Linked DNA regions of Oryza sativa Japonica Group. The protein of the gene in region 3 interacts with the protein of the main gene of each other region in a pairwise test. Links are inferred from orthologs where the notes say so. Each region holds a gene or a part of one and is shown on either strand. Other genes may lie near its edges.

Region 1 (4,154 bases), on a different chromosome or scaffold from region 3:
GAATCCCTTTCTACTGCCTCATTTTTCCTCCTCTTCAACACTAGGCCAAACAAATTTCCCCAACTACTCGCCCCCAACTCAATGATCCAATCCGCCCACACCCACCACCACCCGCACATGCGATACCATGACCCAAACCTATAAACCCCCCCCCCCCCCCCCCCTCTCCTCAATTCCAACTCCCCCAAGTCCCCAACCAACAACCACCAGAGAGAGACAGAGAGAGCGAGGGGGAGAGCCCGATCCATCCTCACCTGCCGCGTCCCCGCGCTGCACGAGCTCCCGCAGCCTCCCCACCGCCGGGTTATTGCTCGGGTCCCTTCCGCCGCCGCCGCCCACCCTCGCCGCCGACGAGCTCATCGACGCGAAGAACCCGAAGCCGAGGCGAGAGCGAGGCAGCGCGTGCATACGGCTCGTAATAATAATGATAATGACTAATTACTCCTCCGTTTCATACAGGTTCATATTATAAATGGAATGATTTTTTTAGTGAAATTTTATTAAGTTTGATCAAATTTATAGAAAAGATTTAGTAATATATAAAATATTAAATTGGTTTTATTAAATCTTATATTGAATATGTTTTAATAATGTGTTTGTTTTGGGTTAAAAACCATACTATATTTTTTATAATCTTATCAACCAACATTAACTTAGAAAAAGAGTCAAATACTCCCTTCGTTTAAAGTCAAACAACTTAAAGTTTAACCAAGTTTATAGAAAAAAATAGTAACATATTTAACCCAAGACAATTTATTATGAAAATATATTCAATTATTGATTTGGCTAAACTAATTTAGTATTATAAATATTACTATATTTGTCTATAAATATAGTCAAACTTTTGTAACCTGAAATAACCTGTACTCCCTCCGTCTCATTTCAAGTGCAGCCATGGTTTTCCGAGCCCAGCTTTGATTTCGTTTTATTTAAAAAAATTTAAAATCATAAGTCACGAGTAAAGTACTATTCATGTTTTATCATCTCATAATAATAAAAATATTAATTATAAAAAAAAATAAATAACACGAACGATCAAATTGAGCGTGGAAAGTTGCACTTAAAATGGAACGGATGGAGTATTGTGAAACGGAGGGTACTGTTAAAAAAGGAAAAGGTGAGGGTGTAATTATAAAAGTGGAAACGAAACGAGACGAAATAATTTAATCCGAAGGGGATAAGAGGATAAAATTATCAAAAAAATAAAAAGAAGGAAAAAAAAAAGGGAGAGCTGTCGAGTATATCACTTCGCTGTGTGGCTTCTCGTCCCCACTCGCTTCACCCCAAATCCCTCAACGGCAGCAAGAGAGAGAAAGAAGAGAGAGAGAGAGAGAGAGAGAGAGGAGTAGACGTCGCCCATGGCGGAAGAGGAGGAGGTGGAGGAGGGGAGGTCCTCGTCGTCGGCGATACTGGACCTGCCGGAGCCGCTGCTGCTGCACATCCTGAGCTTCCTGACGGACGTGAGGTCTCGGCACAGGGCGGCGCTGGCGTGCGGGAGGATGCGGGCGGCGGAGCGGGCGACGAGGTCGGAGCTCTCGCTGAGGGGCGACCCGAGGTCGCCGGGGTTCCTGTTCCTCTCGCACGCGTTCCGCTTCCCGGCGCTGGAACACCTCGACCTCTCGCTCGTCTCGCCGTGGGGGCATCCGCTTCTCTCCTCCGTGCCGCCCTGCGGCGGCGGCGGCGGCGGCGCGCCCTCGGCGTCGTCGTCGTCGGGGATGAACGTGTACCACCCCGAGGCGATCTCCGAGCAGAACGCCTTCATCGCCGCCCGCCTCGCGGGCTGCTTCCCGGCGGTGACCTCGCTCGCCGTCTACTGCCGCGACCCCACCACGCTCGCCAACCTCACCCCGCACTGGCAGGCCTCCCTCCGCCGCGTCAAGCTCGTGCGCTGGCACCAGCGCCCGCCCACCCTCCCCGACGGCGCGGATCTCGAGCCGCTGCTGGAGACCTGCGCCGCGCTCCGGGAGCTCGACCTGTCGGAGTTCTACTGCTGGACCGAGGACGTCGTGAGGGCGCTCACCACGCACCCTTCCGCCACCGCGGCGCTCACCCACCTCGACCTCGGCCTCGCCGCCGCCACCGACGGCTTCAAATCCTCCGAGCTTGGGCCAATCGCGGCCTCCTGCCCCAACCTCCGCAAGCTCGTGGCGCCATGCTTGTTCAACCCACGGTTCAGCGATTGCGTCGGCGACGACGCGCTGCTCTCGCTGGCCACCAGCTGCCCGCGGCTGACCGTCTTGCGGCTCAGCGAGCCGTTCGAGGCTGCGGCCAACATCCAGAGGGAGGAGGCGGCCATCACCGTTGCGGGGCTAGTCGCCTTCTTCGCGGCGCTCCCCGCGCTGGAGGATTTCACCATGGATCTCCAGCACAATGTGCTGGAGGCCGCGCCCGCGATGGAGGCGCTTGCCCGAAGGTGCCCGCGGATCAAGTTCTTGACCCTGGGTTCCTTCCAGGGGCTGTGTAAGGCCTCTTGGTTGCATCTTGATGGTGTTGCGGTGTGCGGTGGGCTGGAGTCACTTTACATGAAGAATTGCCAGGATCTCACGGATGCCAGCCTTGCGGCAATTGGCCGTGGGTGCCGGAGGCTTGCTAAGTTCGGCATCCATGGCTGTGACCTTGTCACTTCGGCTGGGATCAGGAGGCTTGCATTCACGCTTCGGCCTACTCTCAAGGAAGTCACTGTCTTGCACTGCCGGCTTCTGCACACTGCAGAATGTCTCACTGCTCTAAGTCCGATCCGTGATCGCATTGAAAGTCTTGAGATCAACTGTGTCTGGAACACAACCGAACAACCCTGCAGTGTTGCAAATGGCACCACCACCGAATGCGATCCTGAGGATGATGAGCTTGGTGAAGTGTACGAGTCTGCAGCCAAGAAATGTAGGTACATGGAATTTGATGATCTTGGAAGCTGGGAGATGCTCAGGTCACTCTCCCTATGGTTCTCTGCTGGCCAGCTTCTCTCTCCGCTCATTTCTGCTGGTCTCGATAGCTGTCCCGTGCTTGAGGAGATCTCAATTAAGGTGGAGGGTGATTGCCGGACATGCCCACGACCTGCTCCAAGAACAATTTTTGGCTTAAGTGATCTTGCAGGCTTCCCAGTATTAGCCAAGATGAAATTGGACCTCAGTGAAGCTGTGGGTTATGCACTTACTGCACCAACAGGGCAGATGGATCTTTCACTATGGGAGCGATTTTATTTGCATGGTATCGAATCACTGCAGACTTTGTATGAATTGGACTACTGGCCGCCCCAAGACAAGGATGTGCACCACCGGAGCCTGACATTGCCAGCCGTGGGATTGATCCAACGCTGCGTTGGACTCAGGAAGCTTTTCATCCATGGCACCACACATGAGCACTTCATGACCTTCTTCCTTTCAATTCCAAACTTGCGGGACATGCAGTTGCGGGAGGACTATTATCCAGCCCCAGAGAATGATCTGATGTTCACAGAGATGCGGGCTGAATCTTGGCTTAGGTTTGAGGTGCAACTGAACAGCCGGCAAATTGATGATTAGTTATGTGGGCACAAAATGGTTTGAAGCTGAATACAGAGATTTATCTGGATGGTGCCATTGCTCCACTGTGCAATGGCAGGGGATTCCTGGTGAGTTGGTTATGATTATGGGTGGAGTCGTGTGTATTGCTGCAGTGCCATTGAGGAGAGTAGTATACTGGCAGCACTTGGATCTGTCAGCAAAGTAACCTTCTCCAGTTGCTTTTTTACCCCCTTTTTGATGTAATAAGAGAGTTGGGTCGGAAATGAGATATTTGCAGGAGATAAGATTATAAATTAGGCTTCATGGAAAATTTTCCAAGAAAAAAAAACATTTTGTTTTTAAGATGGTCTGAGTTGTGAACACCGGCAAGAGTAATTGGCAAATTGGCATGGTTCTAGCGGTTTGTAACATTTGAACTCTGTAAACAAAAGAAAAACGCCACTCGCTTTTCTTATGCCCTTTGCTTCATGGGTGAAAGTGGCTCATCTAATATTGGTCAGTGTTTTACTGTTTTCAATGGATGGGCAACGGAGTTCAGTACTACTGCGATAGGAAACTATTTTGATGTGTACATAACAGCTCTATTAATCCAAAATTATGTGCCTTTGCTCTTTGAGTTTATTTCTGTCCCTTTCCTTTTCCATTTCATGC
Region 2 (4,056 bases), on a different chromosome or scaffold from region 3:
AATCCCTAGGCAAAAACATTTTAAATTTTTATAATAGGTAAAGATATATTATAATAAAAAAACAAGGTGAAAGATATTTTTAAAGACCATGTCAGTGTTTAAAATGTCAAGAATTATGAAATCGAAGGGAGTATCAAAGTAGGATATTTTTTATAACATCATCCTCTTAATCATAGCTTCGTTTGTTTCAATGATAAAGAAGATATACTCTCATTTTTCAAGCACACGCTTACTAAACGGCTAAACAGCATGTGCATTTTTAAAAATAAGTTATAACAAAGTTGCTTTAAAAACATATTAATCTATTTTTAAGTTTAAATAATTAATACTCAATTAATTATGCTCTAATATCTCGCCTCATGTTACGTATCTTCTTAATCTTTCTTTCCTCTTCTCTCAAATACACCGTAAAGCCGGAGCGGTGTCCAGTATCCCGAACCCTCTGGCCGTCCACTGTTCCTCGCCGGTGCACTGGCTGACGTCGCCATCTCCTCCCCCGACATCGCAGCATCGCTCTCCACTCCGGCCGCTCCTCGGTTTCGTCCGAAATATATATTCCAAGAAATGATTGTAAAAGTAAAATCTAGCCTACGTATTGCAAGATTTGATGCAATAGTTAATACTCCACAAACTAACAATAAATCTCAGTTTGTTCTGAAAACACAAATTAACTTATGAAAGTTCACCACAGAATTTCTTCCATAAAAATTTATTTATGGTAAAAGGCATACTAGTAATTGCCATACCCCTCTGTTCTAATTAGAACCGGCACTAATCAAATCCAAATTCTGACCTTAAAAAATTATAAATACTTTATATTATATTATCGCAGTAGGTTGTAGAGTCATAAGTACAACAATAAAACTTTAATTCATTATATAATTTAAACGTAATTTGTGGTCACAGTGTCAATTATTCGATGGGTGGGAATATTTATTTAACATTTGATAAACAAATAAATTAATTAATAAATACTCTCATGGGTTAAGCTTGCAGTTGGATATACGATTTCAATATACTCGTGGAGGGCACATGCGGTAGATATTACGGACTCGCGACCCTCATTAATAACAGAGAGAAATATGGTTACTTAAAAGTTCAGCCCCACCCTCATCGAGGAGCTAGTATGGACCCACCGTTTAGCGACAGGCGAGGGTGGAACCCCGCGTGGCGAGAGCGTTGCGGTTGGCAGATTCCGGTCCACACCAACGCCCCCCGCCCTTAAAACCCCCACCACCCGATTTCCCACTAGCCAAGGCAGCCAGCCGCCCGGCCTCCCGCCGCCTCTGCTGTCTCAGTCCCGAGTCGCGAGTCGCAACGCCACCACGAGGAGCCGAGGAGGAGGAGGAGGAGGAAGAAGAGGTGTTGTCCGGGCGTGAGGAGGATCGGAGGAAGGGAAGCTATGGGGATCGTGGAGGAGGCGCACAACCTGCGGGTGGTGGGGGAGGGGAAGCGCGGGGTGATCGTGCTGGCGCACGGGTTCGGGACGGACCAGTCGGTGTGGAAGCACCTGGTGCCGCACCTGGTGGCCGACTACCGCGTGGTGCTCTTCGACACCATGGGGGCGGGGCCGACCAACCCGGACTACTTCGACTTCTCCCGCTACGCCACCCTCGAGGGCTACGCGCTCGACCTCCTCGCCATCCTCCAGGAGCTCCGCGTCGCCTCCTGCATCTACGTCGGCCACTCCGTCTCCGCCGTCATCGGCGCCATCGCCTCCATCTCCCGCCCCGACCTCTTCTCCAAGCTCGTCCTCCTCTCCGCCTCGCCTCGGTACTATTCTATTCTACTACTGCGTCTTCACCAAGCAGCATACGAGTATCTCATACTACTCTTTATTACTCTCCCTTATATGGATTGGGGAATAAATAGGAGTATTGGACTTTAATTTAATTTTGGTGGTGATGAATTCGGCTAAAAACAGCTCCCCGAATGGGTACTAGTACCGAGGTACGTCACGAGGAAATTTTTTGTCGATTTTGGGGGCAGATGGCGGCTTTTGTCTTCATAGAGGAATCAGCTGTCGATTTGCGGGGCTTGTCGTCATGGGGGAAATTGGAGACTCGCAGGGGGAATTGGTTGGACGCTTGGACTAGGATTCCTTATGTAGATGCCTCTCCATCAGCATGGGGCTTATGGCTCGTTTAATTCACTGCAGCCAGGGTGAGAATAGGGGATCTTGCTTCAAAGGGGTGCCTGATTTCTACTGACAAATTAACAACTTTCGTGCTACTGGTAATCTAGGCATCTCCAATTGGTACTTACCCTTGATTTAACTATGGACGGGTGGGGCGTTGGCTGTATAGAACCTCCAAATCTCAAATTAGATAGCTGTATTGTCAAGACAGACAACTTGCAAGGTGTACTGCTGTATGTGATTAGCTACTCCTACTCTACATAATTGAATTCTTTTGCCTCTAGTTTGAGATTGATCTTCTCCGTTATCACTAAAATATACTGAGCTGAAATAATATCAAGATTGAGCTTCACTCAAGAGAAGATAACAAGATTGGCAATACATTCTTGATTGGGTTTTAGAATCAGCTGATTAGAGGAATCAGTTCTAGGCAGGTAATGTACATGCCAGAATGTTTTGCAGCCATTTGTTGCCAAAACAAGACAAGGACTAACACTCTTCAACACTCCAAGGTGTAAAAGAACTGAGAGCTTGCAATTTTTTTTTTTGATAAAGGAAGCTTTTTACTAATCTCAGATGATTACATCAAGTTGATAGAACCATACTAAGAAAACTTCTGGCCTTTGCATAACTAGGATGCACACAGCCAAAACACACACGAGCCCACAAAAGACCTTGTAACAAGAGAAGGAAAGCAGTAAAATTTAGGGAGCACCAATCTTCAGGCTAGACCAAGCTTACAAAGTTAAATTGAAAAGAAAAACACTAGAAACTTGCCAGAAGCTGGATTCGTGGATGATTCCACGATTTGAGTGGAAAATAAGTTTCTGTTCTCATCAAATTTAACCTATTTGATATTTTGAGCAGCAGTTATTGTAACATATTAGTCGGGCCTCACCCATGGGTGATGTGTTTTGGGATTTGTTGATCCCTCCTTTGTAAATATTTATTTCTTCTTACTGAAATGAAGCGCAGTTCTCCTGCGTTTTTGAAAAAAAATAGTAACATACTACTCCCTCCGTCCCAAAATAAGTGTAGTTTTGCACTATTCACGTTCAACGTTTGACCGTTCGTCTTATTTGAAATTTTTTTATGATTAGTATTTTTATTACTATTAGATGATAAAACATGAATAGTACTTTATGTGTGACTAAATATTTTCAAATTTTTCACAAATTTTTCAAATATAAGACAGACGGTCAAACGTTGGGCACGGATATCCACGGCTGCACTTATTTTGGGACGGAGGTAGTACAAAAATACAATACTCCCTCTGTCCCAAAATATAACAACTTTTAGCCCTCAAGATTTGTCCCAAAATATAACAACTTTTCCACCAACATTCTCTTCCTAACCTATCACAACCCTCCACCATTCACTTCTACCTACTTTCTTAATAACCGTGTCCAACTCTAAAACTTCTTATATTTGGGGACGAAGGGAGTATGTTTGAGATAGACTCCTAGTGGATTCTGGTACCATGTAATTAGTACTACTAAATTCCATTCCCTTAGGTGTTTATGCAGATTGAAAACATTAATTCAAGCACGACCACAAATAGTAGAGAGCATCTGGATAGTACCAACCACATATTATCATGCTAATGCCAACAGCCCACTCAACAGCTATGCGATAAAGGGGAAAAAAAGAAAAACAAAAAGCAACAGCTATGCGATAAAGGTGCTGAAACATGGTAGTGCCCTTCGATGTATATATTTGGTGAGATTTGCTATGCTATAGCTTTGCACATTTCTTCGCTTATTATGGTGCAAGTGTCATGTCCCAATTGGTCCTATCTTTCAAACCAAAAGGGGAAAATGACCCTATCTTTCCATTTCTGGATATTTCCTTGCTGGAAACCAACACTGTTCCAAAAGCCATGCCTTGCTGGAGGCCATAACTGAGTTGCTTAAAGTGCA
Region 3 (3,982 bases):
TGAGCATGGGGGCATCCAGAGTTCAGACAGATTACAAGTCCAACAGCGAGCATGAACACACGCGCGCCTAAAAGGAATAAGTTCATTTTAGGCTACCCATATTTATGTCGAGTTTAAATCATGTACTTGAAGCATAATATCAAATATAACGTGTCCCTTAATAACTTGCTACACCAAATTACCCCGAGGTCGCAGGCGATATTTTGCCTGGTTTTAACTGACGTGATGAGTTGACCGCGGTGAATCTGACTGACTGAATTGTTTCTAGGAGGAGATGATTGTGGGTGGGTGTGAATTCCGGTTTTGAGGCCTTGTTTAGTTAGCGAAAAGAAAATTTTTGAGTGTCACATCAGACGTTTAACCAGATGTAGGAAGGGGTTTTTGGACACGAATGAAAAAAAAATAATTTCATAACTCACTTGGAAACCACGAGACGATTTTATTAAGCCTAATTAATCCGTCTTTAGCACATGCGGGTTACCGTAGCACTTATATCTAATTATGGACTAATTAGGCTCAAAAGATTTGTCTCGCGATTTCCATACAAACTGTGCAATTAGTTTTTCATTTTATCTATATGTAATACTTCAAAAATTCGATGAGATGTTTTTGGGAAAAAAAATTAGGAACTAAACAAGGTCGGAACATTCTGAAATGGGATGATAACTTGATAAGCTTGCTGGTCATATGGCAGGTCATCCAGCTCGCCGTGATGCCGTGAAGTAATGATCGATCACATGGCACTTCCAACTCAGATCTGAGTAGTTTTAATTGAATCATGGATATCCAGCATTTCCCGTTTTCACTTTGCACGATTCAGACATCGATATCCAGTAGGGCTTCACCTACATAGCTTAGTGGGCTCAAATCTCGCTCACTCAACCTTGGGCTGAAACTGATGCTATTCGCTCTCTATTTGGGCTGAAATTAGCGCTCTAACTCTGAAGTTGGGCTGAATTCCGTACCTGGGCCTACATCCAGAGGCCTCTCACGCGCGCGCCGGCCGCCGAAAATATCTCCCACCGTTCGGCCGCACCACCGCCTCCACCTCGCGGGGAACCGGGAACGTGTCTATGACAGTGGGCCCCACCAATCATCGGGGCCCACTCGCAGCGAGAGAAGCCGCCTCCGACACGCACCGAATAAATAAAGACACGAGAGAAGAGTGAGAGAAGGAGAAATCCAAGCTCGCTTTGACGAAGCCCTCCTCCTCCCATTTCTCCTCCCCGAGCTAGGGTTTCGCCGCCGCCGCCGCCGACTAGCCGGAGTTGCCATGGGGACGCCGGAGACGTCGAGGGAGCCGTGCCCGGACCGGATCCTGGACGACGTGGGCGGGGCGTTCGGGATGGGCGCGGTGGGGGGCTCCCTCTTCCACTTCCTCAAGGGCACCTACAACTCCCCCAACGGCGAGCGCCTCGTCGGCGGCGCGCAGGCGGTGCGGATGAACGCGCCCCGCGTCGGCGGCAGCTTCGCGGTGTGGGGCGGCCTCTTCTCCGCCTTCGACTGCACCATGGTCTTCATGCGCCAGAAGGAGGACCCCTGGAACTCCATCATCGCCGGCGCCGCCACCGGCGGCTTCCTCTCCATGCGCCAGGGCCCCGGCGCCGCCGGCCGCTCCGCGCTCATGGGCGGGATGCTGCTCGCCCTCATCGAGGGCGCGGGCCTCATGCTCAACCGCGTCCTCGCCACGCCCCCGCCGCTCCCCGTCGATGACCCCAACCTCCCCGCCGTCATGGGCGGCGGCGGCGGGATCCCCGGGATCCCGCAGGTCCCCGTGGCGCCACCTGAGGTCGCGAGCTCCAGCGGCGGTGGGAGTGGATGGTTCGGGAGCCTGTTCGGCAAGAAGGAGGAGGAGAAGAAGGCGAGCCCGAGCGGCGGCAAGTCGGAGATGTTGGAGAGCTTCGACACGCCGAGCACTCCGATCCCAACCTTCGAGTACAAGTGAAGAAGAAGGTGAGCGACATAAGAAAGTTTTCGATCTTCAATTCATATCCGATTCGATATCCTCGCGTTTTGTTTCCTTTATTTTTGTTCGATTCGGCTCGGATTTAGGGAGTTCGTGTTCGTGCCGCGGAAGGATACGCGTGTTCCGTCTCTGATTTGTTTTTATTTATTTATTTATTTATTTATACCTCGTGTCCAGCAAGAAGGTTAGTAGTTTCCTATATCCGAGGAAGCAATTTGGTCGCGCTATATATCTTCTCTGGTGTTTCGGCGCGTAGGTTTGAGCCCTAGAGAGTTGTTCGCTCGCGTTCTCCAATTGATTCCTTTGTCCTCGACGAGTCGACGAGCAAGCAATCGATTCCTCCGGTGGAGCTATCCGGGTTAACTACAATGCATCAGGCTCGTCCTTCAATGGAAAGGGATCCATGCCCAGATCGCATCCTTGATGATATTGGTGCGTCTTTTGGCATGGGTGCAGTGGGAGGTTCTTTCTTCCACTTCGTCAAGGGTCTCCGCAACTCGCCCAGTGGTGCACGGTTTGCTGGCGGCATGGAGGGTGTGCGGATGAATGCGCCACGTGTTGCCGGTGGCTTTGCTGTTTGGTGTGGCCTCTTCTCAGCTTGTGATTGTGCCCTAGTTTCTGTGCGTCAAAAGGAGGACCCCTATAATTCCATCATTGCTGGTGCGGCCACCGGCGGCATTCTTGCTGCTCGTCAGGGCTTACGTGCGGTTGCTCGTGCATCCCTGCAAGGCGCGGTTCTCTTAGCCCTTGTTAGTAGTTTTGGGATCATGATGAATAGATTACCTGATGCTGGATCAATGCCAGTCAACAAGACTGAGACTTGTAAGGAGCCACAAATGCCAGAGACTTTTGATGTGCCTAGCACACCACCACCATCGTTTGAGTACAAGTAGAATCCTGTAAGGGGATCTCTCAGCTGATGGGCTTTATTTTACTACTGTTGATGCTCCTCTGTTCAGGCATATCTCTTTTTTAAGTGCCTTTCGGGTGGTTGTTGCCCAATCTTGAAAATAAGGACACAGTAAGGTAGATGCAAAACATATTTTCTATGTGGAATTGTGCTATACGTTTGTTTGTGATGTACACAAGAACTATAAGAGTCCATCTTTCACCTTTTCTTGTTTGTCCTTAGTTGGATGTACTGTTTAATGATGCATTCGCTGTGATGTTTGTCCTGGCCCTTTTTTGTTAATATTTAGCGAAGTTCTTAGGTGCACCATGAGGTCAAGTGAATTTAATGGCCCCCGTTGTTTTGAAGCTATAGTTATAAATGGAGGTTTATGTTACGACTTATTATTACACTCGAGCACAATTGTTTGTTTTCTGCTTCTACTGCTCTACAAAATTCTGTTAGTTGCTGAAATCTAGAAGGATGTGTTCTAGACTTCTATGCATGAAAAGGAACCTTTTGTTGTGTAATTCAATTGATATTTTAGTTGCTTGAAGCATTAGTTTGTTGTAGAAGGTCTTACTTCTTGAAGTTAGCATGTGTTGCAGGCCCATGTTCATCTGGAAGTTGGGCTGATTTGTATTTGTGATGAGTTTTATTTTACATGTCCATCTGGAAGTTGGGCTGATTTACTTCTTTAAGGTGCATGTTAGAACACGTGTGCAAAATCAAAGCTAAGCCATCTACTAGTAAAATCAACGTAAGGAGGATGCGACCTCACAAGTGAGCAAGATGAGAGGTAAGGTGAAAAGAAGGGAAATAATAAATTCTGGGAAGGCAGCCTCCAAGGCCCAAACAGCCTACAAGAGGGAGGACAGTTCTCCTGTCCTCCCACAGCGCTAACGCCATCTTTGTCATCCCTGCAACTCACCCTCTTGCTGTTGCTTCTCTGTCCCTCATTAGCTCCTCCACTGCTCTTCCCCTGCTGCCTTCTTTTGTTCCCATTCATGGAGCTAAAGGCTGCTGTTACTTCTCTATTCTTTTTTTTCCTTTGTCATGTTCTTCTCGATGTGATATTTTCTGCCAGGCACCAACAAGTGCTAAGCTGGCGTCACCTTTCTTCCTGT

What was found. The genes of interacting proteins can lie anywhere in the genome.
Region 1: the proteins of mitochondrial import inner membrane translocase subunit TIM17-2 (region 3) and F-box/LRR-repeat MAX2 homolog interact in binary tests that used the Arabidopsis thaliana proteins (3 or more experiments, as listed by UniProt). The link is inferred for Oryza sativa Japonica Group from reciprocal best matches to the Arabidopsis thaliana genes TIM17-2 and MAX2.
Region 2: the proteins of mitochondrial import inner membrane translocase subunit TIM17-2 (region 3) and probable esterase D14L interact in binary tests that used the Arabidopsis thaliana proteins (3 or more experiments, as listed by UniProt). The link is inferred for Oryza sativa Japonica Group from reciprocal best matches to the Arabidopsis thaliana genes TIM17-2 and KAI2.

The regions. Positions count from the first base shown.
Region 1 is NC_089040.1:2,939,691-2,943,844, forward strand, and holds F-box/LRR-repeat MAX2 homolog, read left to right. Parts: upstream 1-1,348; 5' UTR 1,349-1,358; coding exon 1,359-3,521; 3' UTR 3,522-4,091; downstream 4,092-4,154. Other genes in the region: probable thiol methyltransferase 2, read right to left, coding at 255-408. UniProt on the Arabidopsis thaliana protein: Component of SCF(ASK-cullin-F-box) E3 ubiquitin ligase complexes, which may mediate the ubiquitination and subsequent proteasomal degradation of target proteins. Promotes the senescence. Is necessary for responses to strigolactones and karrikins.
Region 2 is NC_089037.1:18,910,951-18,915,006, reverse strand, and holds the start of probable esterase D14L, read left to right. Parts: upstream 1-1,250; 5' UTR 1,251-1,402; coding exon 1,403-1,773; intron 1,774-4,056.
Region 3 is NC_089041.1:24,985,608-24,989,589, reverse strand, and holds the start of mitochondrial import inner membrane translocase subunit TIM17-2, read left to right. Parts: upstream 1-1,171; 5' UTR 1,172-1,273; coding exon 1,274-1,945; 3' UTR 1,946-1,953; intron 1,954-2,355; coding exon of another isoform or gene 2,356-2,859; intron 2,860-3,982. Other genes in the region: mitochondrial import inner membrane translocase subunit TIM17-2, read left to right, coding at 2,356-2,859. UniProt on the Arabidopsis thaliana protein: Essential component of the TIM17:23 complex, a complex that mediates the translocation of transit peptide-containing proteins across the mitochondrial inner membrane. Links the inner and outer membranes.